Linked DNA regions of Stegostoma tigrinum. The protein of the gene in region 2 interacts with the protein of the main gene of each other region in a pairwise test. Links are inferred from orthologs where the notes say so. Each region holds a gene or a part of one and is shown on either strand. Other genes may lie near its edges. The genes, in order: protein PIMREG-like, ccndbp1, thap7 and mrpl15.

What was found.
Region 1: the proteins of ccndbp1 (region 2) and protein PIMREG-like interact in binary tests that used the Homo sapiens proteins (3 or more experiments, as listed by UniProt). The two-hybrid records come from large-scale screens. The link is inferred for Stegostoma tigrinum from reciprocal best matches to the Homo sapiens genes CCNDBP1 and PIMREG.
Region 3: the proteins of ccndbp1 (region 2) and thap7 interact in binary tests that used the Homo sapiens proteins (3 or more experiments, as listed by UniProt). The two-hybrid records come from large-scale screens. The link is inferred for Stegostoma tigrinum from reciprocal best matches to the Homo sapiens genes CCNDBP1 and THAP7.
Region 4: the proteins of ccndbp1 (region 2) and mrpl15 interact in binary tests that used the Homo sapiens proteins (3 or more experiments, as listed by UniProt). The two-hybrid records come from large-scale screens. The link is inferred for Stegostoma tigrinum from reciprocal best matches to the Homo sapiens genes CCNDBP1 and MRPL15.

The regions. Positions count from the first base shown.
Region 1 is NC_081380.1:25,349,656-25,357,261, forward strand, and holds the start of protein PIMREG-like, read right to left. Parts: upstream 3,041-7,606; 5' UTR 2,981-3,040; coding exon 2,723-2,980; intron 1-2,722. UniProt on the Homo sapiens protein: During mitosis, may play a role in the control of metaphase-to-anaphase transition.
Region 2 is NC_081372.1:47,265,572-47,273,752, forward strand, and holds the start of ccndbp1 (cyclin-D1-binding protein 1 homolog), read left to right. Parts: upstream 1-4,670; 5' UTR 4,671-4,696; coding exon 4,697-4,814; intron 4,815-8,181. UniProt on the Homo sapiens protein: May negatively regulate cell cycle progression. May act at least in part via inhibition of the cyclin-D1/CDK4 complex, thereby preventing phosphorylation of RB1 and blocking E2F-dependent transcription.
Region 3 is NC_081391.1:26,351,813-26,359,628, reverse strand, and holds the start of thap7 (THAP domain-containing protein 7), read left to right. Parts: upstream 1-4,635; 5' UTR 4,636-4,720; coding exon 4,721-4,772; intron 4,773-5,069; coding exon 5,070-5,160; intron 5,161-5,278; coding exon 5,279-5,434; intron 5,435-7,025; coding exon 7,026-7,145; intron 7,146-7,691; coding exon 7,692-7,816. Other genes in the region: zinc finger and BTB domain-containing protein 20-like, read right to left, coding at 493-2,065. UniProt on the Homo sapiens protein: Chromatin-associated, histone tail-binding protein that represses transcription via recruitment of HDAC3 and nuclear hormone receptor corepressors.
Region 4 is NC_081358.1:67,109,709-67,117,100, reverse strand, and holds the start of mrpl15 (large ribosomal subunit protein uL15m), read left to right. Parts: upstream 1-3,984; 5' UTR 3,985-4,386; coding exon 4,387-4,488; intron 4,489-7,392. Other genes in the region: lypla1 (acyl-protein thioesterase 1), read right to left, coding at 3,725-3,793.

The DNA.
Region 1 (7,606 bases), on a different chromosome or scaffold from region 2:
AGAGGGGGATGGGGTGAGGGTTCTGAAATAAATAGGGAGAGAGGGGGAGGCGGACCGAAGATGGAGAGTAAAGAAGATAGGTGGAGAGGTAGGGAGGGGATAGGTCAGTCCAGGGAAGACGGACAGGTCAAGGAGGTGGGATGAGGTTAGTAGGTAGCTGGGGGTGCGGCTTGGGGTGGGAGGAAGGGATGGGTGAGAGGAAGAACCGGTTAGGGAGGCAGAGACAGGTTGGACTGGTTTTGGGATGCAGTGGGTGGGGGGGAAGAGCTGGGCTGGTTGTGTGGTGCAGTGGGGGGAGGGGACGAACTGGGCTGGTTTAGGGATGCAGTAGGGGAAGGGGAGATTTTGAAACTGGTGAAGTCCACATTGATACCATATGGCTGCAGGGTTCCCAGGCGGAATATGAGTTGCTGTTCCTGCAACCTTCGGGTGACATCATTGTGGCAGTGCAGGAGGCCCATGATGGACATGTCATCTAGAGAATGGGAGGGGGAGTGGAAATGGTTTGCGACTGGGAGGTGCAGTTGTTTGTTGCGAACTGAGCGGAGGTGTTCTGCAAAGCGGTCCCCAAGCCTCCGCTTGGATTCCCCAATGTAGAGGAAGCCGCACCGGGTACAGTGGATGCAGTATACCACATTGGCAGATGTGCAGGTGAACCTCTGCTTAATGTGGAATGTCATCTTGGGGCTGGGATAGGGGTGAGGGAGGAGGTGTGGGGACAAGTGTAGCATTTCCTGCGGTTGCAGGGGAAGGTGCCGGGTGTGGTGGGGTTGGAGGGCAGTGTGGAGCGAACAAGGGAGTCACGGAGAGAGTGGTCTCTCCGGAAAGCAGACAGGGGAGGGGATGGAAAAATGTCTTGGGTGGTGGGGTCAGATTGTAGATGGTGGAAGTGTCGGAGGATGATGCGTTGTATCCGGAGGTTGGTGGGGTGGTGTGTGAGAACGAGGGGGATCCTCTTAGGGCGGTTGTGGCGGGGGCGGGGTGTGAGGGATGTGTTGCGGGAAATACGGGAGATGCGGTCAAGGGCGTTCTCGATCACTGTGGGGGGCAAGTTGCGGTCCTTAAAGAACTTGGACATCTGGGATGTGCGGGAGTGGAATGTCTTATCGTGGGAGCAGATGCGGCGGAGGTGGAGGAATTGGGAATGGGGATGGAATTTTTGCAGGAGGGTGGGTGGGAGGAGGTGTATTCTAGGTAGCTGTGGGAGTCGGTGGGCTTGAAATGGACATCAGTTACAAGCTGGTTGCCTGAGATGGAGACTGAGAGTTCTAGGAAGGTGAGGGATGTGCTGGAGATGGCCCAGGTGAACTGAAGGTTGGGGTGGAAGGTGTTGGTGAAGTGGATGAACTGTTCGAGCTCCTCTGGGGAGCAAGAGGCGGTGCCGATACAGTCATCAATGTGCCGGAGGAAGAGGTGGGGTTTAGGGCCTGTGTAGGTGCGGAAGAGGGACTGTTCCACGTAACCTACAAAGAGGCAGGCATAGCTGGGGCCCATGCGGGTGCCCATGGCCACCCCCTTAGTCTGTAGGAAGTGGGAGGAGTCAAAAGAGAAGTTGTTGAGTCTGAGGACGAGTTCAGCTAGGCGGATGAGAGTGTCGGTGGAGGGGGACTAGTCGGGCCTGCGGGACAGGAAGAAGCGAAGGGCCTTGAGGCCATCTCCATGCGGAATGCAGGTGTACAGGGACTGGACGTCCATGGTGAATATGAGGTGTTGGGGGCCAGGGAATTGGAAGAATTGGATGCCACCCGAAGGTTGCAGGAACAGCAACTCATATTCCGCCTGGGAACCCTGCAGCCATATGGTATCAATGTGGACTTCACCAGTTTCAAAATCTCCCCTTCCCCTACTGCATCCCTAAACCAGCTCAGTTCGTCCCCTCCCCCCACTGCACCACACAACCAGCCCAGCTCTTCCCCCCCACCCACTGCATCCCAAAACCAGTCCAACCTGTCTCTGCCTCCCTAACCTGTTCTTCCTCTCACCCATCCCTTCCTCGCACCCCCAGCTACCTACTAACTTCATCCCACCTCCTTGACCTGTCCGTCTTCCCTGGACTGACCTATCCCCTCCCTACCTCCCCACCTATACTCTCTCCACCTATCTTCTTTACTCTCCATCTTCGGTCCGCCTCCCCCTCTCTCCCTATTTATTCCAGTTCCCTCTCCCCATCCCCCTCTCTGATGAAGGGTCTAGGCCCAAAACGTCAGCTTTTGTGCTCCTGAGATGCTGCTTGGCCTGCTGTGTTCATCTAGCCTCACATTTTGTTATTTTGGAACTCTCCAGCATCTGCAGTTCCCATTATCTCTGAAGTATAAACCATATCATTTGTTTAAGCGATGTTGGTTTGGAGATAAGCTTTTGATCAGGACATTATGGAGAAGTAAGCAAAAATTAACGTGACACTGTCTGCAATGTAAGGAACGCAGCCAATTGCCACATCAGCCCATGTCAGTGGAACCAGTCATGTATATTTATCGTACAAGTTATATTACAGTCCACCGCGGTCAGGCACACAGTACGTTATCTGGGAAATGTCTGCCAGCTGAATAGTCTGAATAGTCAATGCTGCTGGCTTCCAAATTACTTTTACACTTTTCTACTAAAATAAAACTGGAGTCCATATTTTTCTTAAGCAATGTCAGTTTTTGAAACCTTGACGTTTTAAATGGAATAATGGCACTGCTACACTCCATGGTGTCAAGTGTAAGTAAAAACAAGTTACCAGGGAGACGTTGCCCCATGTGTTCCTCGCAGTCCGACCTATAGTTTGTAAAGCATTAGGTTTCTTGGTGAGCTCCAGACTCTCCCAAGTCGGGGTGTGGTCGATGTTAAAGTCCACCTGCCCAAGAGGCAGCCTCTTCCTCAGGGACATGCGGATAGTGTTGAGGGAGCTGGACGAGGACATCTCCCTGAAAAGATCGGCTGGCGGGCTATCGCCTTCTTCCTGCAGGATCTGATGGTGCTTTCTCCAGCTTGTCATTACGACCTCCGTGGTTGGGATCGAACGCCTGAATGTCTGTCCCTTTCTTGTTTTTGAATTTGGCGCAACTTTGTAGCGGAGTGAAATTCCCGCGATCCGATTGGTGAAACTGACAAGATGACGTACTGAGGCCCGCGCTGATTGGCCGTCGGTTATGTCACTGGGAGGGGATTGCTCGGGCTCCGGCTACTTTGTTCCCAAGCCTTTGTTTCCCAACAGGAAAAAGGATCCGATCAAGTAACAGCAATGTGTCCATTTCTTCCCGGGAGCTGATGGAAATTACCCTTTCATTCTCGTCGTCCCAGCGCCTTCTGGTGAGACCACGAAACATGGGCTGCTGCCACAGTTCTTAATATTAGAAAGTAAAACACTGCTGCACTCATTTAAAACCAGTGAAACAAATCGTACAGAAAGGCAAAACGGTTCCAGTGACAATTTCTGAAGAGGGATCACTGGACTCGAAACGTTAACTCTGTTTTCTAACTTCCCAGATGCTGCCAAACCTGCTGAGTTTCTCCAGAGTTAGTAGGAACTGCCGATGCTGGAGAATCTGAGATAACAAGGTGTAGAGCTGGATCAACGCAGCAGGTCAAGCAGCATCAGAGGAGCAGGAAAGCTGATGTTTCGGGCCTAGACCCTTCTTCAGAAAGACCCGAAACATCAGCTTTCCTGGTCCCGTTATCTGACTTGCTCTGCACCTCCAGCTCCATATTTTATAGACCCAGATTTATCTTCGCAAGTTATTGCAAAACACCGAGCTTTAAACATGAATATTGATACGATTTGAACGCAGGTTGTTAATAACTTGGAAGAAATAGGGAGAATCCTTTCCAAGCGATCGTTTAACTGGTCGTCCCACGCTTCGAACCGAGTGTCTCTAAGATGTTTGTTATCCTTGGGTTGGGGAAGGGGGGATTTGCACATTGTTTTCCGTTACACGCTCTTAATTCTTCACTGAAAACAGGTAAGCAGGGCATTTGTACAGTTAAATCTTCCCTCCACCACGACCGACCTTAGAGTCATAGAAAGGCGACACAAATGGGAACTATTAAATGAAATCTTACAGGGCCCGAGGATGTGTGCTGTGGTAAAAAGCTCGATTCTGTACCATGCGGGAAGAAGCCATTCGGCCCATCTTTGCTGCACCGACTCTCTGAAAAGAATCCAGCCCAGACCCAAGCCCCTACCCTATTCCTGTAGCCCTGCATATACCCTTGCTTTCCACACTTAGCTTGCACATTCCAGGGCAGTTCAGTATGACCAGTCAATCTAACCTGCACATCTTTGGACTGAGGGCGGAAACAGGCACATTCTGCAGAAACAGGGAGTAAATGCAAAATCCACATGGACAGTTACCTGAGGCTGGAATTGAACCTCCCTGGCTCTGTGAGATAAAAGTGCCACCCATATCTGAGAGTATCACTGAAAAGTTAACAATGCCGATATGAAGGTTGGGATTGAATTAGTTGTGTTTTCCAGCAGAGTTCAGGAATTGGAGACAGGGTTATTGCTGGGCAGCTGAGATGCCTATTAGCTGATCGTCTGTCATTCTCTTAAACTGCAAATCTGGCCTTGCAAATATATAGCTTTCTATTGTGCCGCTGCTGTGAGGAATATACACACCTCCAGAATTCCCGACATGAAAGGAAATGGATACTTCATCTCTCTAGCTCACCACTGACTCCGCCAAACCTTCACACCAGTGCTGCTGTCAGAACATCAGAAGCTTACAGGACCTGGGAGGTTGGCAGTGTCCACAACTTGCTACACCACAGCAACACCTCTTTTTGTTATGGCCAGACCCTGGGATTCACTATTCACCAAAACCCACTGGCCCTGTAGAAGTATGCAGAAATTCTGCATTCCCTGGCCCATATAAAACCCTAAACCAAATATTGCCTCAGAGAATGTTACATCGTAGGATATGGTCATTTCTGCAATGAAACTATGCCAACTCTGCTGTAAAACCCTAGACATTAAAATGGATACCTGTTGCTTAGCATTCCCCTGCATACACATTGAATTAAAGTGAGCAGAAGTGGGAGAGAATAATACAAAGCACATGCTGGAGATCTGAAACAAACAAAATCAGAAATTGCTGGAGAAACTCAGCAGATCTGATGAAGTGTTACTGGATATGAAATTTCTTTCCACAGATACTGTCAGAGCTGCTGAGATAGCACAGAAACAATGGGATGATCTGTGTTTGGGGAGAGTGCACAAAGTGAATATGAACAGAAGCCACCCAAGCCCTCCAGCTCCTCCAGAACTTCCAATTCCCCAGTCCCCAACACCTCATTTTTACCATGGACATCCAGTCCCTATACACCTGCATTCCCCTTGCAGATGGCCTAAAGGCCCTCCACTTCTTCCTGTCCGGCAGGCCCGACCAGATCCCCTCCACCGACACTCTAATCCGCCTAGCCAAACTTGTCCTCACCCTCAACAACTTCTCTTTCGATTCCTCCAACTTCCTACAGACAAAGCGGGTGGCCATGAGTACCCACACGGGCCCAAGCTATGCCTGTCTCTTTGTAGGTTACGTGAAACAGTCCCTCTTCTGCACCTACACTGGCCCTAAGCCCCAAGTCTTCCTCTGTTATATCGATGACTGCTTTGGCGCTGCCTCATGCTCCCAAGAGGAGCTTGAACATTTCATCCACTTCACCTACACCTTCCATCCCAACCTCAAGTTCACCTGGGCCATCTCCAACACATCCCTCATCTTCCTGGACCTCTCTGTCTCCATCTCAGGCAACCACCTAGAAACAGATATCCATTTCAAGCCCACCGACTCCCACAGCTACCTAGAATACACCTCCTCCCACCCAACTTCCTGCAAAAATTCCATCTCCTATTCCCAATTCCTTCACCTCCACCGCATCTGCTCCCAGGGTGAGGCATTCCACTCCTGTACATCTCAGATGTCCTCGTTTTTCAAGGACTGAAACATCCCCCCCACAGTGGTTGAGAACACCCTTGACCATGTCTCCCGCATTTCCACAACTCATCCCGCCCACCCGCCCCTGCAATAACCACCAAAATAGAATCCCCCTCGTCCTCACATACCACCAACCTCCGGATACAATGCATCATCCTCTGACACTTCCGCCATCTACAATCCGACCCCACCACCAAAGACATTTTTCCATCCCCACCCTTGTCTGCTTTCCGGAAAGACCACTCTCTCTGTGACTCCCTTGTTCACTCCACACTCCCCTCCAACCCAACCACACCTGGCACTTACCCCTGCAACCACAGGAAGTGCTACACTTGCCCCCACACCTCCTCCCTCACCCACATCGCAGGCCCCAAGATGACTTTCCACATCAAGCACACCTGCCAATGTGGTATACTGCATCCGCTGTACCCGTTGTGGCTTCCTCTACATTGGGGAAGCCAAAGAGAGGCTTGGGGACCGCTTTGCAGAACACCTCCGCTTGGTTTCATGAATGCAGAATTTCATTTTAGTAGATAGATTGGAAATGTTGAGCTTGTTTTACTTGGAGAATGTTGACAGGCGATTTGTTATAGGTATTCAAAATCATGAGTCGTCTGGATCAAATCGATAGTGAGTAAACTGTTTCTGCTGGTGGAAGAGTCAAGAATGAGAGAGAGCAGATTTGAAATAATGAACAAATCAAGCACACGTGACAGGGGGAGAAACGTTGTCAAACTGCGAGTTGTTAGAATATGGAATGCCCTGCCAGAGAATATGGTGGATGCAAGTTCAATTGCAGCATTTGAGAAGGAATTGGGTCATCACCTAAAAAGGAAGAAAGTGCAAGACTATGAGAAGAAAGTGTAGCAGTGGCACTGGATGCATTGCTCATTTGAAGAGCCAGCTCAGACACAGTGGGCTGAATGGCCCCCTGCTGTAATCCGTTTGTGTTTCTGTGATCAATTATTTGTGCAAATCTCTTTTAATAACAACTGTATCAGAAATGATGCTTCTAAAACTGTTTCCATTTGCACAAAACATTTGATAAGCCCGTATACATACAGTATGACAGATTTTCCCAATGTCACCATATTGTTGGTATTTTATTCTCTACTGTTACTGACAAATGGACCAGTTTAAAAATGTTTTCTTTTGTTTCCTATCAAAAACTCCCTATTATTTTGTGCACATCTTCTGACTTCCACGAGACTAAGTTGATTATTCTGGAGTTGGATTTTGTAACTAAAACAACTGCTATGCAGACATACATTAGGAGTGTAAGGCCAAAAGACAAGAACAACTTGGAAACTCAGGTGAGAACGCAAATCTTTGGAATTGTGCAAGGTTCAGTTCAGGGTGCTGAAATAGAGGAGAAAACTTACAAACATGTAGATAAAAGTTTACAGCTGTCTCCAATCAAGTTCACAAAGAAACTGAGAGCAGGAAAAGTGGAGAAGAAAGTTTGAGGAATCAATGTAGAAGTTAACAGAGAAGGGGTTGGAGGATGGGGGTAGTTAAGAAAATTAGCAGGCCATGAGATATACTCATTTTATAAAAGACACGTATCAATTACAGCAGCTGTGAAAAAAGATTGATAACTGGGAAAGGAGTTTTGCAGAAAGTGGACAGCAGATGGAGCAAGTGTAAAGAGAGAACAGTGCCCTTTGAAACAGTAAAAAAAACTT
Region 2 (8,181 bases):
GACAGTCAGAAACCTGGTTAACTCAGGAACAGGAATGGTTGTTTAAAGTTGTGGGATTTAGATGCTTTGAAAGAAATAGGGAGGGTGGTAACTGAGTTGGGGGAGTGCCATTGCCAATCAGGGCTAGTATAGCAGCTACTGAAAGGCAGTTTGAGAATGATATATCTACAGAATCAGTTTAGGTTGAGGTCAGGAACAAGAAAGGAGCAGTCACTTTGTTGGGGTTTTTAAACAGATTTCCTAATAGTTGCAGAGAAGAGGAGGAGCACATTGGGAGGCAGAAACTGGAAAGGTGCAGAAGTAACAGGGTTGTAGTCATGGGTGACCACAACTTTCTAAAAATTGATTGGAAACTTCTTAGTTGTAATAGTTAAGATGGAATGGATTTGGTCCAGTGGATTCAAGAAGGATTCCTGACACAGTATGTAGATAGACCAACATGAGGAGAGGCCACTTTGGATTTGTGCTTGGCAATGAACCGGACCAAGTGTTAGACCTGTTGTTAGGAGGGCATTTTGGCAGTAGTGATCATCACTCTGTTTCTTTTACAACAGTCATGGAAAAGGAAGGTACACACAGCAGGGTAAGGTTTATAATTGAGGGAAGGGTAATTACAATTCAGGCTAGAAGGCTAAAGGAGGTGCATGTTTGTAAGGAAGATGCACAAGGAATTTTGAGGAAATTGAAGATAGATAAGTTCCTGGGCCTGATGGGATTCAATGAGAAGTGAGGGAAGAGATCACAGGGCCTTTGGCGATGATCTTTGCATCCTCACTGTCCACGGGTATAGTGCCGGAAGATTGGAGAGTGGCAAACGTCATTTCCTTGTTCAAAAAACAGAATAGGGATAACCCTGGAAATTACAGGCTAGTTAGTGTTATGTCAGTGGTGGGCAAATTATTGGAAAAGGCTCTGACAGAGAGGATTTATGATCACTTGGATAGGCATAGTTTGATTCGTGATAGTCAGCATTGATTTGTGAGGGGTAGATCATGCCTCACAAACCTTATTGAATCCTTTGAAGAGGTGACCAAACACGTGGATGAAGGTAGAGCAGTGGATGTGGTATACATGGATTTAAGTAAGGCATTTGATAAGGTTCCCCATGGTAGGCTCATGCAGAAGGTAAGGAGGCATGGGATAGGGAAAGTGTGGCAGATTGGATTCAGAATTGGCTGACCCTTAGAATACAAAGGGTGTTAGTGGATGGAACATATTCAGCATGGTGCTCAGTTAAGAGTGGTGTACCACAAGGATCTGTTCTGGGTCCTCTTCTATTTGTGAATTTTGTAAATGATTTGGATGTAGGAGTGGAAGAGTGGATTAGTAAGTTCGCAGACAATACAAAGGTGAGTCGCTTTGACAATAGTGTGGATGGCTATTCTAGGTTACAAAGGGACATTGATAGGATGCAGAGGTGGGCTAAGAAGTGGCAGATGGAGTTTAACCCTGAAAAGTGTGAGGTGATACATTTTGGAAGGACAAATTTGAAAGCAGAATACAGGGTTAATGGAAAGATTTTTGGCAGCGTGGAGGAGCAGAGGGATCTTGGGGTTCATGTCCACAGTTCCCTAAAAGCTGCCACCCAGGTGGATAGAGTTGTTCGCAAAGCGTATAGTGTGTTAGCTTTCATTAATAGGGAGTTTGGGTTCAAGAGCTTTGAAGTTATGCTCCAGTTATACAAAACCCTGGTTTGGCCACATTTGGAGTATTGTGTCCGGTTCTGGTCGTCTCATGACAGGAAGGATGCAGAAATGTTGGAAAAGGTGCAGAGGAGATTTACCAGGGTGTTGCCGAGAATGGAGGGAGGGTCTTTTGAGGAAAAGTTGAGAAACCTAGGACTTTTCTCTTTATAATGACGAAGGATGAGAGGTGAATTGATAGAGGTGTACGAAATGATCAGAGGTATTGAGAGAGTGGATAGCCAGAGACTTTTTCCTAGGGGGGAGGTAGCTCATACGAGGGGGCGTAATTTTAAAGTGAGTGGAGGTAGAAATAGGGGAGACGTCAGAGGTAGGTTCTTTAGTCAGACAGTGGTAGGGGAATGGAATACATTGCCAGAGAGGGTAGTGGAGTCGGCCTCATTAGGGGCATTTACGTGGCATTTGGATGATAGTGTAAAGTAGGGGTGGAGGTTAGATAGACATAAGGCTTAGGGTAAAAGTTCGGCACAACATCTTTGTCCGAAGGGCCTGTACTGTTCTACGTTCTATGTTCAACATGGCTTTATGCAAGGCAGATCATTTCTTACTACCTTGATTGAATTTTTTGAGAAGGTGACGGAGGTGATCGGTGAGGGTAGAGCAGTGGATGTTGTTTACATGGATTTTAGTAAGGCTTTTGACCAGGTCCCTCATAGTAGGCACATCCAGAAGATTAAGACGCATGGAATCCACAGTGACTTGACAATGTGGGTTCAGGCTTGGCTTGCCATAGAAGACAGAGGGTAGTGGTGGAAGGCTGGTTTCTAGTCTGGAGGTCCATGACTAATGGTGTTTTGCAGGGGTCCGTGTTGGCAACTCTACACTTTTTAATACATATAAATGACTTACATGATAATATAGTTGGGTGGGTTATTATGTTTGCAGATGATACAAAGATTGGTGGAGTTGTGGATAGTGTAGAAGGTTGTCAAAGGATATAGCAGGATATCGCTCAATTGCAATCATGGGCAGATAAATGGCAGATGGAGTTTAATCTGGGTAAATATGAAGTGCTATGATTTGGGAGATCAAATGTTAACGAAACGTGTACAATTAATGGCAGAACTCTGAATGCCATTGATGTATAGAAGGAGATTGGGGTTCAAATCCATAGCTCCCTGAAAGTAGCCATACAAGTAGATAGGGGGTAAAGAACACGTGTGGCATGCTTGCCTTTATTGGTTGGAGAACTGAGTACAAGAGTCAGGATGTCATGCTGCAACTTATTAAGAATTTAGTTCGGCCACATTTAGAGTATTATGTTTAATTCTGGATGTGAGTTTGCTTGCTGAGCTGGAAGGTTAGTTTTCAGACGTTTCGTCACCATTCTAGGTAACATCATCAGTGAGCCTCCGACAAAGCGCTGGTGTTATGTCCCACTTTCTATTTATCTGTTTAGGTTTCCTTGGGTTGGTGATGTCGTTTCCTGTTCTTTTTCTCAGAGGATGGTAGATTGATTTGGAGCCAATGTGTTTGTGGATGGAGTTCCGGTTGGAATGCCATGCTCCTAGGAATTCTCGTGCGTGTCTCTGTTTGGCTTGTCCTAGGATGGATGTGTTGTCCCAATCAAAATGGTGTCCTTCCTCATCTGTATGTAAGGATACAAGTGATAGTGAGTCATATCGTTTTGTGGCTAGCTGATGTTCATGTATCCTGGTGGCTAGCTTTCTGCCTGTTTGTCACAATGTAGTGTTTGTCACAGTTCTTGAAAAGTATTTTGTAAATGATGTTTGTTTTGCTTGTTGTCTGTATAGGGTCTTTTAAGTTCATTAGCTGCTGTTTTAGTGTGTTGGTGGGTTGGTGGGCTACCCTGATGCCAAGAGGTCCGAGTAGTCTGGCAGTCATTTCGGAAATGTCTTTGATGTAGGGGAGAGCGGTTATGGTTTCTGGGCCCATTTTGTCTGTTTGTTCGGGTTTGTTGCTGAGAAATCGGCAGACTGTGTTCATTGGGTACCCATTCTTTTTGAATATGCTGTATAGGTGATTTTCTTCTGCTCTTCGTAGTTCCTCTGTGCTGCAGTGTGTGGTGGCTCGTTGGAATAATGTTCTAATGCAGCTTCGTTTGTGGGTGTCGGGATGGTTACTCCTGTAGTTCAGTATTTGGTCTGTATGTGTTGTTTTCCCGTAGACGCTGGTTCGAAGTTTCCCATTGACTGTTGGCTCTACTAGAAATAAATAGGGAGAGAGGGGGAAGCAGACCGAAGATGGATAGAGGAGAAGATAGGTGGAGAGGAGAGTATGGGTGGGGAGGTAGGGAGGGGATAGGTCAGTCCAGGGAGGAGGGATAGGTTAAGGAGGCGGGATGAGGTTGGTAGGTAGGAAATGCAGGAGTGGCTTGAGGTGGGAGGAGGGGATAGGTGAGAGGAAGAACAGGTCAGGGAGGCAGGGACGAGCTGGGCTGGTTATGGGATGCAGTGGGGGGAGGGGATGAGCTGGGTTGGTTTTGGGATGCGGTGGGGGGAGGGGAGATTTTGAAGCTTGTGAAATCCACATTGATACCATTGGGCTGCAGGGTTCCCAAGCAGAATATGAGTTGCTGTTCTTTACTAACGTGCTGCCTGAATTAAAAATTTCAAATTTTCACCATCTGCTTTTCAACGAAGGGCTTGACTACTCCCTTCACCACCGCATTTACCGTGAACCCGGCCTCGTCTACTGGCCCCGTCAATCTCCATGCATCTGAGATAACAAAGTGTGGAGCTGGATGAACACAGCAGGCCAAGCAGCATCTCAGGAGCACAAAAGCTGACGTTTCGGGCCTAGACCCTTCATCAGAGACGCTTTTGTGCTCCTAAGATGCTGCTTGGCCTGCTGTGTTCATCCAGCTCCACACTTTGTTATCTTGGATTCTCCAGCATCTGCAGTTCCCATTACCTGTGCATCCAGTCAGGCCCCGCCCTACCTCTGGTCCCGCCCATTCATCCGTAACGACCCAGCCTCCGCCCACCAGTCCTGCCTGCTACAGCGGGCCCCGCCCCCGAGCTTGCGTCAAGATGGAGGAGCTGCTTTCGGCTGCGTGTGAGACCATGGACTCGGAGGCGAACGATGATCTGCGGTTGCCGCTGCGGAACCTTGCGAACGGCCTGAGGGAGGTGGTGTCGCAGCTGCGAGGTGAGTTCGGCTGATTCCAGGGAGCAGGCCTCAGGATCTTCCAACAGCAGAGATCCCGGGGTTGGGGGAGAGGACTGCTGACACCAGACAGGGCCTCTACCTGAAGGACCCCACTTTGTCTGTGGGTGTACGGACATGTACTGGCATCTACCGCAACACCCGAGTGACAGTGAAAGGAGCGATAATGGGGTAACAGCCGGCCCTAGGAGCTCAGAGCCAGTGGAAATAGCGGCAGCAGTCTAGTGTTTGCGTGTAATTAGTGATAATGGGAACTGCAGATGCTGGAGGATCCGAGATAACAAAGTGTGGGGCTGGATGAACACAATAGGCACTAAGCAGCATCTCAGGAGCACAAAAGCTGACGTTTCGGGCCTAGTCTACCTGATCCAATCTTACAGGCTGGGATCCAATAGAGGGGCTCTAAGTTGTTTATATTCCTAATCGAGCCTCAAATGGACAAGTTCATCTATTTACTTCCTCCATATTGTTTCAGCAGACTTCTGACTAGCGTCCTATCTCCTTTCTCTGTCCCCTTCCCCGCCTTTTGAGTTAATATAAAACTCAGTTAGCTGTATTCTCATTTAAGTCCAAATACAGAAACAAAAATTCTGAAGTTTTTTAAAAAATGCAGAAAATGCTCAATGGGTCAGACATCAGCCGTGGCGAGAGATTCGGAATTAATATTTCAAGCCTGGAACCGTCCTGATGAAAAGTCTGAAATGTTAACTATTTCTTTACTCACCATTGTTGCTAACCCACTGTGTTCTTCAGCATTTCTGTTAATTTTACTTGCCTTCCTCCCTGTGCTCGTCATTTAGCATTGGCCTCTGGTATGTTACAGCTTTGCAAGTTTGAATTGCTTTTCTGTTATGTATGACTAAATTGAACACCCACTATTTTACTTGACCTTCCAAACAAGCCCTCCAAGAGATCTGTATAGTCAATTCCATTTGCCTGCGTGTCCCTCCTGTCAAACTGCATAATTTAATGTAGTTGTGGATGTTCTCTTCACTCCTCCCCGCCCCCAATAGTGAAGTTTAAGGGACCTTTAAATGTGTGTACAGCCATGAATGTAGTTAAACCTTGCACAGTCAAATCTTGTGGGTCAGTGAAAATAAAAATAAAGTCACTATTTTGCATCTTCTCAGTCTTTCATGCCTCTGCTCCTAACTCGACCAACTTTCCTGAATGCCCTTCTGCTCTCAACTCATAATTTGGAATCTTGTATTCTGTTTGGTTCTGTTTCACAACCCCTTTCCCATCATTGAAATTTTTTTTCTGTCTTGTCGCAGCCTTCGGTATCAATTTCAAGTCTTTGTTTTTATCTTTGAAGACTTCTAGCCATGTCCCACTCTGCCTCAGAAAGCTTCTTTAGCATCTTGGTCAGCCTCACTGTCAGTTTAGAAGGAGAAAGAAAATTACAAGTGCCTGATAATTTACAGGGTGCTATTTTAAAAGCAAAATCACGAATAGGATGTGGTCATTGCTTGCTGGGCCAGCATTTTTTGCCTGTATCTAGCTGTCCTTGAGAAAATGGTGGTGTTCTGCCACCTTGAATTGCGGTGATAAATTTGTGTAAGTACCTTCACAATGCCATTGCACCATAAGAAAAAGGAATGGGAGTGGACTGTTTAGTTCCTCAAGCCTGTTCTGTTATCCAGAAGATTCAGCCACTCCTCATATTCACTTTCCTGCCCTTTCCCTTGACCCTTGATTTGTCTACTGATCAAGAATTTCTCTATCTTGGCCTTGAATATGTGCAAGGTCTCTGTGGAAAGGAATTAAGGAGGGCTTTCTAAGATTTTGATCCAGTGACGTTCAAGGAGCGGCAATAATAAGTGACTTGGGAGGAAACTTGTGGATTAGACATGAATGTATGAAATAACTAATCAACAGTCATAAAACTGATAGACTGAAGTTCTGTTTGTTGAAAGCATTAGTTATCACAATTCTACCCTAAAGAAGAATAACTCACCAATAACTGATGACTTTTCAAAGATTTTTGGGTTATCAGTGGACTCAACACAGCCACTAACAAACCATTGTAATCATTTTTCTGAGGAGTAACACTTGGAAGAATGGTTCTCTTGTAATGCTGAAATTTGTCAGTGGTAGACCTAGCAAGATGATTGTTATACCTAATGGTATCAGAGATAATGGGAACTGCAGATGCTGGAGAACTCCAAGATAGTAAAATGTGAGGCTGGATGAACACAGCAGGCCAAGCAGCATCTCAGGAGCACAAAAGCTGACGTTTCGGGCCTAGACCCTTCATCAGAGAGGGGGATGGGGAGAGGGAACTGGAATAAATAGGGAGAGAGGGGGAGGTGGACCGAAGATGGAGAGTAAAGAAGATAGGTGGAGAGAGTATAGGTGGGGAGGTAGGGAGGGGATAGGTCAGTCCAGGGAAGACGGACAGGTCAAGGAGGTGGGATGAGGTAAGTAGGTAGCTGGGGGTGCGGCTTGGGGTGGGAGGAAGGGATGGGTGAGAGGAAGAACCGGTTAGGGAGGCAGAGACAGGTTGGACTGGTTTTGGGATGCAGTGGGTGGGGGGAAGAGCTGGGCTGGTTGTGTGGTGCAGTGGGGGGAGGGGATGAACTGGGCTGGTTTAGGGATGCAGTAGGGGAAGGGGAGATTTTGAAACTGGTGAAGTCCACATTGATACCATATGGCTGCAGGGTTCCCAGGCAGAATGAGTTGCTGTTCCTGCAACCTTCGGGTGGCATCATTGTGGCACTGCAGGAGGCCCATGATGGACATGTCATCTAGAGAATGGGAGGGGGAGTGGAAATGGTTTGCGACTGGGAGGTGCAGTTGTTTGTTGCGAACTGAGCGGAGGTGTTCTGCAAAGCGGTCCCCAAGCCTCCGCTTGGTTTCCCCAATGTAGAGGAAGCCTCACCGGGTACAGTGGATGCAGTATACCACATTGGCAGATGTGCAGGTGAACCTCTGCTTAATGTGGAATGTCATCTTGGGGCCTGGGATAGGGGTGAGGGAGGAGGTGTGGGGACAAGTGTAGCATTTCCTGCGGTTGCAGGGGAAGGTGCCGGGTGTGGTGGGGTTGGAGGGCAGTGTGGAGCGAACAGGGGAGTCACGGAGAGAGTGATCTCTCCGGAAAGCAGACAGGGGTGGGGATGGAAAAATGTCTTGGGTGGTGGAGTCGGATTGTAAATGGTGGAATTGTCGGAGGATGATGCATTGTATCCGGAGGTTGGTAGGGTGCTGTGTGAGAACGAGGGGGATCCTCTTTGGGCGGTTGTGGCGGGGGCGGGGTGTGAGGGATGTGTTGCGGGAAATACGGGAGACGCGGTCAAGGGCATTCTCGATCACTGAGGGGGGAAAGTTGCGGTCCTTAAAGAACTTGGAC
Region 3 (7,816 bases), on a different chromosome or scaffold from region 2:
AACCCTTGACATTCCTGCCTGGTCTTCCATTGGCTGATCCAACGAGGATAGCTGCACCACAGCAAAATTTGCAGTAACATATAGGTGCTCCTAGTACATATCACACAGAATTTAAAATAAGTCTTGATGGCGCTCAGAGGGCTCGGGTGCTTTGCTTTCCTGTCAGTGAGGGGATCTGATTCTGAATGTGATGATTGCTTTTCATCTATTGGTATTACATAAAGCCACGGCCATATAAAGCAACAGGTTTAATGATCACGATCAGCCTCATTTTATTCTCACTGAGTTCATTATGGCAAATGACAGCAGTGAAAGTCAAAACCTTTAGGAACTATGCCCCAGTGATAGTCAGCACCTTCAGGGAAGAAATGGAGAAAACTTAAATTAAATCTCTATTTATTCTCCACCAGTCATCCTAGGAATAGCATCTGGGTTAAAGAATGGGATTGAAAGAATGGTTTTAACTAAAATGAACAATGATGATGAACCCACCTGTGTGGACAAACATGTGCTTGGCGTAATTCTGTCTGGAACTGAATGTCTTCCCACACTGTGCACATCCATAGGGCTTCTTTTCGGTTTCACTGGAACTGTGACTGGCCTGAGAGGTAGCTGGGACTGTCTGGCCTCCATCTAGAAACGCAGCCGGGTTTTGGCAAGATGGCTGAGCTGAAATGCTGGGTATACATGTCTGTGAGGTGGACGGCAGAGCTGGAAGGTGAGGTGACTGAGGAACGTTCATCTGGAAGAGGTTTCGGTGACTGGCAGCACTGGCTGCATTATTATCTCCCTGAACATCATACTGCACAGAGCAGCCTTGGTTTCGTGGACTGTTGTGCACAGCTGATGCTGGGAGAAAGTCTTGCATGAATGTTGAAGGCCGTTGGTAGGATGCATCAAGTTGAGACTTGCAGTCTGCTTTTCGGTTTTGTGGTAAGGATGGTTCCTTCTCCTCTTTCTCTCCATGCCAAAAGGACTTCAGTTCCTCAGGTAAGAGATCACTAGCATTGAAAAATTCCAGCTCATCCCCTTTGCCGGTCAAGCTCAAATGACTCGCAGAATCTCTTCGATCCCCCATTGTGCTTTGATTGGGATCAAAGGCATTTGTCTCAGAGATATCCTCAGTTTGCTCACTTTGGTTGATATGCTCAGCAGTTTGATCGGAGACACTTGCACTGGAGATGCTCTCCCCACAGTAAAGGAGATCATCATCTTCTTCCTTGATGGTCACTTGACTTCCATCTGCCATCTGGAGGCGGATTGGCTGGCGCTGCTTGCGACTGTGGCTGCCTTGTGCTAACAATGGCATTTCTGGACGCTGATTGGCTGCAGTGTTGTACCATAGAGCACGTACCTCACTGTTACGGCCAGTGTCCATCAGAGACAGATTCTCCTGGTCAGCAATGGCCTGTTCTCCAACTCCCTTTTGTCGTGTAGATGGAACTTGTCTGCTCAGATTAGGGCTAATTTCTTCAGCTTTGTACCCTGTGTCACTTGTTGCCACGTTCTTTGTACCTCCGCGTACAAAATCAAAGTCTTTCTCTGTTCCATGAGGTGACAATGCCGTTTCAATTAAACCCATAGAAAATTTGTGGATCTGGTCACTGACTGACTGGCAAATAATGGCTTCTTTCTCATCAGAAAGGTCCATCTTTTGGCTGACTAATGGTTGGAGTCCCTGAGTCTTTTGTGAGGCATTTTGCGAAATAATGCGTGTACATTCATCAATGATGGTTTTAATCTGAAGGACACTTGCTGCTGTGAGGATTTGTAGAGCCTCCACGTGAGAGACCATCAGAGAGCCGCTGTACATGAAATCCACCAGCCGCCGTAGAGTCTGGGCTGAGACAAGGGGAGGAACCTCGATCTCGCTGTAACCCAGCAAAAGTTTATCGTGGAAAAAAGGGCTAGCTGCAGCCAGAACGCAGCGGTGTGCTCGAAGAGCTGTGTTGTGGATCCTCACTGTTACATCACAGAAATGGCCACCCAGGCGCTGGGAATTCAGTGTCTCCAGCAGTGACTTGCTAAAGTTTTGGAGGTTGATGCTGTGAAGCTGCTCCGACATCCTGCTCAGTTGCTCTGCACTGCCTGCAAACCAATGGAAAAAGTGAGGATGGGGGAAATGAAGACAGAGAGAGTGTGAGAACAACACGGGGGTTGGAGAAAGGGAAGCGGCTGGTGGTGTCATTCTGGCATATGTAGGTGGGGCTGTCTCCTCCCCTCACAACAGGATTTTGTGCAGGGGAGGGTAATGGTGGTCGTTCCCGTCCCCCTCACACAGCAGTGGGACGGGGGGGGATTGATATTCCCCTCCCCCACACACAGCAGTGGGGCGGGGGGGGGGATTGATATTCCCCTCCCCCACACACAGCAGTGGGGCGGGGATTGATATTCCCCTCCCCCACACACAGCAGTGGGACGGGGGGGATTGATATTCCCCTCCCCCACACACAGCAGTGGGACGGGGGGATTGATATTCCCCTGCCCCACACACAGCAGTGGGACGGGGGGATTGATATTCCCCTCCCCCACACACAGCAGTGGGACGGGGGGATTGATATTCCCCTGCCCCACACACAGCAGTGGGACGGGGGGATTGATATTCCCCTGCCCCACACACAGCAGTGGGACGGGGGGATTGATATTCCCCTCCCCCACACACAGCAGTGGGACGGGGGTATATTCCCCTCCCCCACATACAGCAGTGGGACGGGGGGATATTCCCCTCCCCCACACACAGCAGTGGGACGGGGGGGGGATATTCCCCTCCCCCACACACAGCAGTGGGACGGGGGGGGGGGAGATATTCCCCTCCCCCACATACAGCAGTGGGACGGGGGGATATTCCCCTCCCCCACACACAGCAGTGGGACGGGGGATATTCCCCTCCCCCACATACAGCAGTGGGACGGGGGGATATTCCCCTCCCCCACACACAGCAGTGGGACGGGGGGGGGGATATTCCCCTCCCCCACACACAGCAGTGGGACGGGGGGGGGGATATTCCCCTCCCCCACACACAGCAGTGGGACGGGGGGGGATATTCCCCTCCCCCACACACAGCAGTGGGACGGGGGGGGATATTCCCCTCCCCCACACACAGCAGTGGGACGGGGGGGGGATATTCCCCTCCCCCACACACAGCAGTGGGACGGGGGGGATATTCCCCTCCCCCACACACAGCAGTGGGACGGGGGGGGGATATTCCCCTCCCCCACACACAGCAGTGGGACGGGGGGGATATTCCCCTCCCCCACACACAGCAGTGGGACGGGGGGGGATATTCCCCTCCCCCACACACAGCAGTGGGACGGGGGGGGGATATTCCCCTCCCCCACACACAGCAGTGGGACGGGGGGGATATTCCCCTCCCCCACACACACACACACGTGGGACGGGGGGGTATTGTCGTGATGGAGTTTTTTGGGGGGTGGGGGGGCGTGAACGCTGTCACGTGCTTGCTACTATCGAATCAGCGAGCTGCCGAGGCGAGGCCATTGACCCCTGACCCGCTCCGCTTTCCTTGATGTACTGGAGTAGTCTGCGGGGGGAGGGGGTGGCGGAATTATCGTCAGGGCCTGGGCTGCCTTGGCACCCGCACTCTTTAGGTTGCATTCTGTTGGGCCGGTAGGGTCCCAGGGCCGCGCTCCCTCAGGCGACACTAACCTCCAGTCAGTCTCCAGCCGGGCCTTGCGTCATGGCGCAGCGCGGCGGCGACGTCAAGGCGCAAGGCGGATACCACCGACAACGCCTGTTCCGCATGCGCAACGACATCGCGATCTGGAAAAACGTAGCTGTCTTGATTGAAGCCACCTGAATTTCCTCAGAGTCTTCCCGAATATTTCTGGACCTGAGCTTTCCATTGTCGTGAAGGCAAGAACGCTACCTGCTCCCAATTCCGCCCTGCGTCTGAGTGCCGTGACGTAGGTTTGAGGCTCTTAGGTCGGCCATTTTGGTGAGGTCAACGAGGACAGAGTGAGGGAAGAGGGTTGTTGGGGGAGGGGTGGGAGTAGAGATAATTGGGATATAGGCTTGGGGGTGGTTCCGAGGAGTCGGGTGATGAGGGAACGACAGGAGATTATAGTCATGGGGCAGGGCAGGGTACGGATGGAGGGATAGGGGATGATGGGAGGGGTGTAGGTGGAAAATGGATGGTGTGGGAATGGGGGCCATTATACGAATGATATGGGGTGGAAATGGGAGGGGATTATGGTCAAGAGAGTGATGGGTATGTGGAGGGTGACTTGGATACGATGGATGGGAAGGATTGGGATGGGGAGAAAGGTGATGTGTGGGGATTAGTGGGTGGTGGTGAGTGGGATATAGAAGTGGGAGTAGGGAAGGAAGTAATAGGGATGACTGGAGGAAGAGAAAGTCAGAGGGAGGGTAATTAAGGAGACCCTGGGTGGTGGGAAGGGAATTGCGGTGGGTGTCAGTGTTGGGTAATGAGGAGTGGCGTTAGGAAGAGGGGAATAGGGTATAGGGTGAATTTGGAGGGGGGGATGATGGGGCATTAGAGAAATTGGAAGGGTGAATTGTGAAATGGTGGGATTGAGAGGGGTTGGATTTGGGTAGGGGACTGTGGGGAAGGAAGGGATGAAGCTTGTGGGAACAGGCAAGATGGAATAGGTGAGGTGATGGAGTAAGGCAAAGGTGTGGGGTGGTTGGGAAGGGGAGAAGAGAGTTAAAAGACAGAAAGGAGGGGGTTGGGCTGGCAGAGATGGAGTGGATGATTGAAGAGAAAGGAAAGAAGGGGAATGATAGAGTAGAAGGTAATGAGGAGGGAGAGAGATATTTGTACCAGGGTGAGAAAGAAGAGACAGCTTGGGGTGGGGGGGGAATAAGAGATGGGAGGTGAAGGGTAATTGTAAAGGGAATGGGGTGGGGGGACGGGAGAGGAGAGACTGAGTAGCAGGATTCGTAGGGTTTGCCTGCGGGGAGAGATGGTGCATGCTTCCATTTGGGTGTGTGAATGAATAGATGGTGTGTTTGGGCGCAAGCAAAGAGCGGTTACTGGCTATGGGGTTCAATGTGGTCTGACTCTGGTGAACTCTTCTTATGTCATGCAGGGGTCAGAGCAATGCCCCGACACTGCTCGGCTGAGGGCTGCACATCACGGGACACTAAGGATTCGAGAATTAATGGAGTCACGTTTCACAGGTCAGTGAGACCTCTCCCTATCCTCAGGTTGATTCCCTCAGTGAGGTCTGTTTAATCCCCCACCCAGTCATATTTTACTGTGGTCACGTTCACTTCTCATGAGTTTCATTTTACTTAGGTTGCCCAAGAAGGGAAGACATCAGCGTGAGATCTGGTTGCTGAATTGTTGCCGCAAGAATCCAGATGGGACAGTTCCGTGGGATCCACCGTCGCAGTTCATCTATTTCTGTTCAAAACATTTTGAGAAACACTGTTTTGAGCTTGTGGGGCTGAGGTAATTTGTAGCATCTGTCAAATGTTGGTCCAATATGCCCTGCTTCAACAAATCACTACAGCCCATTAATAATTTGAGTGGCATGGTGGTTCAATGTTTAGCACTGCTACTGCACAGTGCTAGGGATCCTCCAGTTTCTCTCCACAGATCAAAGATGTGCAGGTTTGATGGATTGGCCATGATAAATTGCCCTGAAAGATGTGCAGGCTATAGGTAGGTTGGCCATGGGAAATGCATGGTTATAGGTATAGGGTTGGGGTATTGTGGAATGCCGTTCAGAGCTGTGGTGTAGACTTGATGGGCTGAATGGCCTGCTTCCACAGTGTAGGGATTCTCTGATTCTATTACACACTGCTCCACAGATTACTATGGATTACCAGATCCATGTCTATCAGATCACCAAGACCTGATAGACTCTGGTTTGCCCAATCCCTGGAACATCAGATCAATTGTATCACACCTGTGGGCTGAAGAGTGGTAGATGGAGTGTAATTTGGATAAATGTGAGGTATTGCATTTTGGTAAAATGAACAAAGGCAAGACTTATACGGTTAGAAGTCGGGCTTTGGGTAGGGCTCTAGAACAGAGAGACCGAGGCTTTGACGTTTATGTCACATATAGATAGGATGGTTAAGGTGTTTAAGCATGCTTGCCTTCATTGTTCACACCTTTGAGTATAGGAATTGGGACGTTATGCTGACTCCTTTTCTGGAGTTACGTAATGCAATTTTGGTCTCTCTGTTACATAAAGGAAATTATTAAGTTGGAGAGGGTTCAGAAGATAGTTACCAGGATCTTGCTGGGAATGGAGGGTTTGAGTTTTAAGGAGAGGCTGGATAGACTGGAAATTCTTTCACTGGAGAATAGGAGGTTGAGGGACGACCTTATAGACGTTTATAAAATAATGACAGGCATTGATAAAGTGGATGGTAGGATTTTTTACCCTAGGGTGGGGGAACTTCAAGATTAGCGAGCATATTTTTAAGTTGAGAGGAGACAGATTTAAAAAAAGAGTGGCAATTTTTCCACATAGAGTGGTTCATGTGTGAAATGCACTTCCAGAGAAAGTGGTACACCTTTTAAAAGACATTTAGACAAGTTCATGAATAAGAAGTGTTTGGAGAGATGTGGACCAAGTGCATACGGGTGGAACTAGTTAGTTTGGGATTATGTTTGGCTGGCTGGACAGAAGGGACTGTTTCTGTGCTGTATTACTCAGATCCTTGTCCACATGATCTTTACAGTCTCTTAGATTGCCAAGGTCCATCAGATCCCTTAGCTCATCAGATCTTGGCTCACCTAATCACCACTGTTTATCAGTTCCCAGATCACCTGATCACCAGTCCAACAGATCCCAGTCCGTTCTCCCAAAACATCAGAACATAGTTTGGTGGATCACCCTGGCCTTTCAAATCTGTTGCCTTGTACCATCAGACCCAGGTTCCTCTGATCACTGTGGTCCATCATCACGCAGGTCCAACACATTACAATTGAGGCCAGCTTTATTTCCGGTGGGGTGGGGGGGGGGGGGGGGGGGAGATGTGTGTGTGTGTGGCGGAAATTCACTGCTTTCCTTGTTTTCTTTCCCCAGTCGTTATCACCGCCTGCGAGATGACGCTGTCCCCACATTATTTCAGCCATGTCCTCAAGCAAAGGTGGCGCTGAGTGGGGGACACAATGCAAAATCATTGTCTGTACGCACCAATGAATGGTGAGAAACTTCTGGTGACTGCTTCAGCCGTGTGATTCACAGGATGTATACTGCTTGGAAACCATTTACGCTGTTCACTCGAAATCAATATCTTAACTAAAAATGCTTTTTGTATTTCTTCTATTACTCTGTTCATTGACTCGGTGCAAATGGCTAGTGCATGCTCGGGTGTTAGAGACCAGATAGTTGATGTAGAGACTGCGGTTTCCTGTCAGGGGTAGGTGAGTGCTGCCTGTCTCCAACCACTGGATTAGGGAAGGGACAAGTGAGCCAAGACTCTTAATCTTAAAGTAGTTACCTATTTATGAGATGTTAAATGAGGGCACAGTCAAGCTCATTGTGATGCCATCTCAGTCAAGTATTCAGTAACTACTGCTTGTATGCCAACAATCAGATAATGGTCATTTTGGTTAGGCAGTGAAGAATGAACAGCACTCCAGAGTTCTTGAGAAAAGGGGGAGGAAACTGACATTAAAATATCCACAATTGGTCACTCCCTGTCCTTTTATTAACCTTCAGCTATTTTCCTTCCTATCTATCTAACAGCTTCACTGATGGCAGCGCCTGTTTACCTGCTCCTGATCTCAGGAATGCTGACACTAGCTCAGGGATGGCCTTCAGCATTTCTCAAGATGGTTCTTCCTTTGTTCTGGGTTATTCTGATCCCCAAG
Region 4 (7,392 bases), on a different chromosome or scaffold from region 2:
TCTGTAGGTAATGAATTATATCTTGCTTCCCCAAAGCCCTTCCACCATCACCAAGACATGAAGAAGTCGTCTAACAGAACACGCTTCAGGCGCCTGGACGAATACAGTTCCAACACTTGGAAAACAAAATCACTGATGACTTAATAGCTTGCTGGATTGACACCAAACACCCCATCTGAACTATTCATACTAATACACCATAGCAGCATTATGACCGATGACCTACCACTCACTAAGTTTCAATAGTATTACTTGCAATCCTCCTCGTCGGATTCTTGAAACTTTCAGTCCTTTTTTCAAACCACCTTTAACCGTTCACACTTCACTGTGCAATATTAGAATGCTCTTTTTTGGAATTGTTGTTTCGGGAGAAATTCTCCTTAAAAAAAAATCAATGATATTGGCATCGTCTTCACCTGGAAGTAATGTGGCAAATCTCTGTTTGAGATTCGTAGAGTCTTGTAATTTTTTGTGCAGTTTCTTCAATGCATTCATGTCCTTCCTACTATGTGGAACGAAAGCTCAACACAGCTAAGAACTGACAAGTATTTTATATGCTCACGCCCAGTGCGACAAAACAATTGTGCCTCTAAGTTTTTTAATCACCCTACGAGCTGCATGGTGTTGCTTACTATGATCTGCCTGTACTGTTCGTAAACAAAGTTTTTCACTTCACTTAGGAACACTGGAGTTAATTATTTCAAATTCAAATCTTTTTTCTTGTATACTCTACGCTGCTATTAAGGCTAGGATACTATTGTTTTATTCATGGCTCTCAACTGGTCCTGCCACCTTGAGGGGGGGGAGAGGGAGGGGGAAGGGGAAGTGAGGGGGGAGAGGGAGGGGGAAGGGGAAGTAGGGGTGGAGGGGAGCGAGGGGGGGCGGAGGGAGAGAAGGAACAGCGGCGATATCTGGACACTGGCAATAGGGACAACCTGGTTGGTCGATCAGATTCATCCTCTGCTTGGTAGCTGGAAGGGAAGGGAGGAAGCAGGGCTGGAACGGAAGCCAGGGTTGGGGAGGTTATTTTGAACTTAGAGAACTCAAACGTTGAGTCCTCTGGGCGGTAGGGTGCCCAGGTGGAAGATAAAAGGTGTTGCTCGCCAAATTTGTGTTCTGAATCATAAGAACTAGGAGCTGGAGTAGGCCATCCAGCTCCTCAAGCCTGCCCCGCCATTCACTAAGGTCATGGCTCATCTTTGAGACTCAGCTCCACTTACCTGCCCGCACACCATAACACTTAATTCCTTTGCTGTTCAAAAATTTATCTAGTCTTGCCTTAAAGACATACAGCGAGGTAACTTCAACTGCTTCACTGGGCAGGAAATTCCACAGATCCACAACCCTTTGGGTGAAGAAGTTCCTCCTGTCCTCAGTCCTAATCTGCTTCTCTTTATTTTGAGGCGATGTCCCAAGTCCTAGTTTCACCTGCTAGCAGAAACAACCTCCCTGCCTCCACTTTTATCGATTTCCTTCATAATCTTATGTTTCTATAAGATCTCCCCTTATTCTTCTGATTCCCATGAGTATAATCCCAGTCTACTCAGTCTCTCCTCATAATCCAGCCCTCAATTCTGGAATCAATCGAGTGAACCTCCTCTGCATCCCCTCCAGTGCTAGTATATCCCTTCTCAACTAAGGAGACTAAAACTGCACACAATATTCCAGGTGTGGTCTCACTAGGACACTATACAGCTGCTGCACAGACTCCCTGATTTTAAACTCCATCCCTCTGGCAATGGCACACAAAATTCCATTTGCCTTTTCAATTACCTGCTGCACCTGCAATCCTACTTTTAGCAATTTATGCACAAGCACACCCAAGTCCCTCTGTACAGCAGCGTGTTGCAATTTTTTATCATTTAAAACATAGTTCATTTTGCTGTTATTCCCAAAATGAATCACGGCAACACTGCAGGAGGCCAAGGGCAGACATGCTGGAGGCATTGCAGGGAGGTGCAATGGGCAGCGACTGGGAGATAAAGCTGCCTGTTACGGGCCAGATGAAGCTGCTCGTGAAATGGTCACCTAGTTTACATTTGGTCTCACCTATATAGAGAAGACCACTTCAGGTGCAGTGGATGAAGGTGAAGCTCTGCCTCACTTGGAAGGACTCGGCAGCATCTGGCCCTGAATGGGGGTGTGGAAGTTGGTGTGTGAGCAGGTATTGCAATTTTAACAGTTACAGGGAAAGGTCCTTGGTGGGAAGTATGACATGAACTGGAATAGTCCTTGTAGAAGGCAGAGAGGGCCGGGGAGTGGAAGATGTTCTGGGTGGCAGGGTCTAATTGGAGTTGGTGGAAATGTTTGAGGATGATACATCGGATGCAGAGCTGGTGGGGTGGAAAGTGAAGACAAAGAGGACCCTATCTCATCAGTTTCGGGGGGGGGGGGGGGGTGTTAAAAAGCTGAGTAGGCAATAGATAAGACACGCTGGAGAGCTGTCTCTCTTCTCTGCCGACACAGTCAATTTACAGTGGAAGAATTGGGAAACAGTACGAATGTACTTACTGGTGCAGTTCATCCCTTAATCCAATTTTTACCCAAATTACCCATCGCATCTGCTCTGAGGAGGAGGCATTCCATTCCCTCTCATCCCGGATGTCCTTTTTGTCCCCCAATGTCCTTTTCTTCTGTCATCCAGACATCTCTCCACCACGCTTCAAAACTCTAAACCACCCTCACCCTTCAAACATAACAAGACATATACCCTACCAGCTCTGCATCCAACATATCATCCTCAAACATTTCCAACTCCAAATAGACCCACCACCCAGAATATTTTCTACTCCCCACTCCTCTCCTGAAATGGTTCTCTATGTTGGTGAGACCAAACATAAACCAGATGACAGCTTCACGAGCATCTTCGACTGGCCTATAACAGCCAGCTAGCCTCCCAGTCAGTGGCCATTTCCTCCATATGCTGCCTGGCCTGCTGTGTTCTTCCAAACTCCTGCCTGTCCACCTCGTGGGTTTTTTTTGGTCTCTTTCCTACAGGGACAATTGAAAAGAATTGAAAAAGCTGCTAAGACTTTGGGATATCAAGAAAGGTGCTGAATTATTTCAAGCTTTTCTTACTTCTTGTTCCTAGTCTTTGTTATCCATATTTTCCTGACCTTAGAGATGTAAGCAAGGAGCCCTTAAAAACATATGCCCTCTCTCTTTTCCAAGGCTCAGCTGAATATCATCTAATCAGATTGCTTAATTTCTTTCAAGATTACAAAAAAAAGATGACATCCACACTTAATTTGTCTCCAACTTTCTGCTAGTCGTCGGTAGAACACCACTTCCAAAAATTGATGGCCGTTACAAAAGATTAATTTACGATCCCCGGGAACGCTTCAAATTCTTTAATATTAAATAGTCCTTTGCTGTCTAATACCGTTGAGAAAGCTCTTAACGTTTCCACCCCATTTTCATGCATTTTTCCCCCAATAGTCTTTTAAATTGCCCTGATAGTTGTTTCCTGCAACTGTACATTATGAATGCTTTTCCCCACAAAAATTGCATCGTTTAACTACGAACAGATCAGAATAGTAGAGCACAATTGATCATCGATAGCAACTACCAAGACCCATCAATAATATGTCCCTTCCCTTGCAATCAGTGGACACGCTTTCTCTACTGTACCGGGCCAACGCACAGTTCTTGTTGTTATGCTGCAAGTCACACACTGGAAAACTGCACCCGCCCTTTGCCCATCGCTTTTCCAGGTGAGACTCACCGCGGCTGTGGCTTTTTTTGCAGCAGGGACAATAGCAGGAATTGGCGCTGACATGTTGTTACCGCACATACACAATCAAAACGAAGGCGTCCAGCTAACCCACAGGTCACCACCACTACAAACAGCCCCAACCGCCGTTCTCCACACTCCTCCTCCCGCCCGCGCTTACACCACCAGATATCCCGCCGCCGCCGCCTCCTCCTCGGACGAATTTGACGTCCTTACAACGGAAACCCGTGTTACGCCATATGATTGGCTGAGCCCGATGTTAACAGAGGAAACAATGGGCGGCTGATTGACTGCGCAGTTGCAGTGGCGCGCTTGTCGACTGAATAATCTGTTTTCCTTTTCACTCCCCGATGTATCCCTGAAAGACATGTACAAGTATTAGCGTCAATCAGAATGATAATAAAACTGGATTTGGCTGTTGGTCAGGCTTCCGGTATTTTTTACTTCCGTGATTTGCATTTTTAAGCAATGAACTACACAGAAAGGAGTTTAAGAATCATACAAGTGTTTTTTTAAACAAAATTCAGCAACTAGAAATTAGAGAATAAATGGGTCATCTAGAGGTTTTAGGTACTCGCCGCTTCCGCACTTGTCGTAAAGACGCGTTGCTCTGAATTTTGCGACACAGCAGTCTGTCTTGGCGGTTGGGAAAAATGGCGACACGAGGATTTGGATCGACTGGGCTCGAGCTTCTCCGGCGGCTGCCGCGGGTCTCCCTCGCCAACCTGAGACCAAACCTGGGAGCGAAGAAGAGGGTAAGTGCTCTATAAGCATATATATCACCCTTTTCCAATCAGTTCTGCAGGAGGGGTACTGGAGCCGAAACATTAACTCTGCTTTCTCCCACAGATGTTGCCAGACCTGAGTTTTTCCAACAATTCCGGATTTTGTTTTTGATTTCCGCTGTTTTGTTTGTTTGGTGTCTAAGCGAGTTGGACAACCATGTGACGAGAACATCTGCAAAGTTATGGGGAATGGGTAGAAAACCATCTGAGCTGCCCTTACAGAATCATTCCGACACTCTGGGCCGAGCAGTCCCTCTACCACTGTCCGTGCTACAATTATTATTTTGTGAGCAGAATTACGCGGTTAAGTTGCACTCCCTCGCGGTCATCAATTTCTAAATGAGACTTTGAAAGGAAGCGACTCAGGGCTTGTGACAGTGGGAGCGGAAATTCACCCACTATCTCAATTTCGGCGTCCTTTTCCCTGCTGAAAAAGGACTATTTGTCTCTCCTGCTGTGAAGCAGCAGCCTCGTTAACTCTTGGGGGGTGGGGGGGGAAAGAGAGGGGAGGAGATATTAACTATTCACCCTATCCATGTTTGTCATGATTTTATAAACCTCTAGAAGATCGCCCTTCAGCCTCTGACAATCCAGGGGGAAAACTGGCCCCAACCTATTCAACCTCTCCTCTTATCTCAAATCTTCCAACCCTGGCAACATCCCTGTAATTCTTTTCTGAACTCTTTCAAGTTTAACAACATCTTTCTTACACTGGGAGACCAAAATGGACTGCAGTATTCTAAAATTGGACTCACCAATGTCCCCAACATAACATTCCAGCTCCTGTATTCAGTGCATTGACCAATGAAGGCAAGTATGCCAACTGCCTTCTTCACTACCCTGTCTACTTCGCATTCAAGGAGTTATGCACCTGAACCCTAGGTCTCTTTGTACGGCAACACTCCCCAGGGACTCAGCACTAACTGTCCAAGTCTTGCTCTGGTTTGCCTTAGCAAAATGCAACCCCTCACGTTTATCTAAATTAAACTACATTTCCTCATCAGATCAATGTCTGATTGTACTCTGAGATAACTTTCTTCTCTGTCCACTACACCAGCAATTTTGGTGTCATTTGCAAACTTACTAACCATACATCCATTATTAACATCCAAATCATTTATATAAATGATGAAAAATAGTAGACCCAGCACTGATCCCTGTGGCAGACTGCTGGTCACAGGCCTCTAGATAGAAGACAGCCTCTGCCTCCACCTTGAAACCAATGTTATATTCAGTTGGCTAGCTCCAATGGACTCCATGTGATCCAATCTTGCTAACAAGACTACTCTGTGGAACCTGTCGAACACTTTACTGAAATCCGTAAGGAAAACATCCGCTGCTTTGCTGTCATCAATTGAATGTGATGTATATAGACTTTCAGAAGACTTTTGATAGTTTCCCACATAAGAGATTAGTGTGTAAAGTTAAAGATGGATAGAATGCTGGTTAGCAGATGGGAAATGAGGCTTTTTACCGCACAGTGGGGATCAATGTATGGATCCCTGCTATTAATAATATTGATTTAGATGAGACAATTAAAAGTAATATTCCCAAATTTGCTGAAGACACAAAGCTGGATGATTTGGATGACAGAAATTTTTCCAAGTTTGCAGACAATACAAAATGAAATGGGAAAATCAAGTAGTGAGGATGACAAAATTAGTCTAAAGAGGGATATAGACAAGTTAAGTGATTGAGCAAAAAATTTACAGATGAAATATAATGTGGAAAAATGAGGCTATGCACTTTAGCAGGAAGAATACAAGAACTGAATACTTAAATGGAGAATGACAACAGAAAGCAGCAGCTTGAAAATATTAGTGCGTCATAAAAATCTAGCTTCCGAGATCAGCAAGTAAATAGGCAAATGGATTTTGTTAGCCTTCATTTCAAAGTAAATTAAGTCTAAAAATATGGATGCCTTTTTGAAGCTATTAAAGGAAGCTAGGCTGAGCACAGCCAGAATAATGTGAACAGTTTTTGTTCCCTTATCGGGGGAAAGATTAGAGGCAGCTTAACGAAGGTTCACTATGTAAATCCTGGGTACCTGGGATTTTTCTTATGAAGACAGGTTCAGTAGGTTGGGCTTGCACTAGTTGGATTTGTTCATAAAGAGAGGAGACTTTATTGAAACATATAAGGTTATTAAGGGGATAGACGTAATAGATGTGGAGAAGTTGTTTCCTCATGCAGGAAAATCTAGAACCAGAGGATGTAATTTCAGAATTAAAGGTCCACCACCTTTGAAGATAGATGAGGAGGAGTTTTTCTGAGGGTAGTGAATGTATGGAATTCTTTACCACTGAGCGCTGTCAAGGCTGAGAAGTATATTCAGGCCATGGTAGATTTTTAATCAGTAAAGGAATCGAGTGTTCTACGGAAAGCATAGAAAAATGGAGTTGAGGATGATCAGATCTGCTAAAATTTCATTAAATCATAGAGCAGATTCAGTGGTCTGATTATTCTACTTCTGCTTCTCCACGTTGTGATCGCAAATAAACAAGGAGATATTCAGGGAAGAGAAAACAAACCTGATAACCTTAGTAGTTTTGATAGCATCTGTGCAGAGGGAAGAATTGCATTAATACTCAAATATTGGACTCGGCGTTAATTGTTTCTCTCCACAGACACTGCCAAATGTGTTGTATTTCTTGTTACGGAGAATAGCCGAACCCCTCTGATAATTAAGCCAAAACACAAACCACAATCTGCCATGACGGGTAGAGGTTCCCTTCTAATAATTAGCCTTTCCCCTCACAATCTATAAACAGGGTAGTTAAAAGAAAGAAAATCCCTGATTTTCTCTTTACAAGTAACAAGAAACAATTTATTTATTTAACCCAACAATGAACAAGTTAACACACTTACAAACAA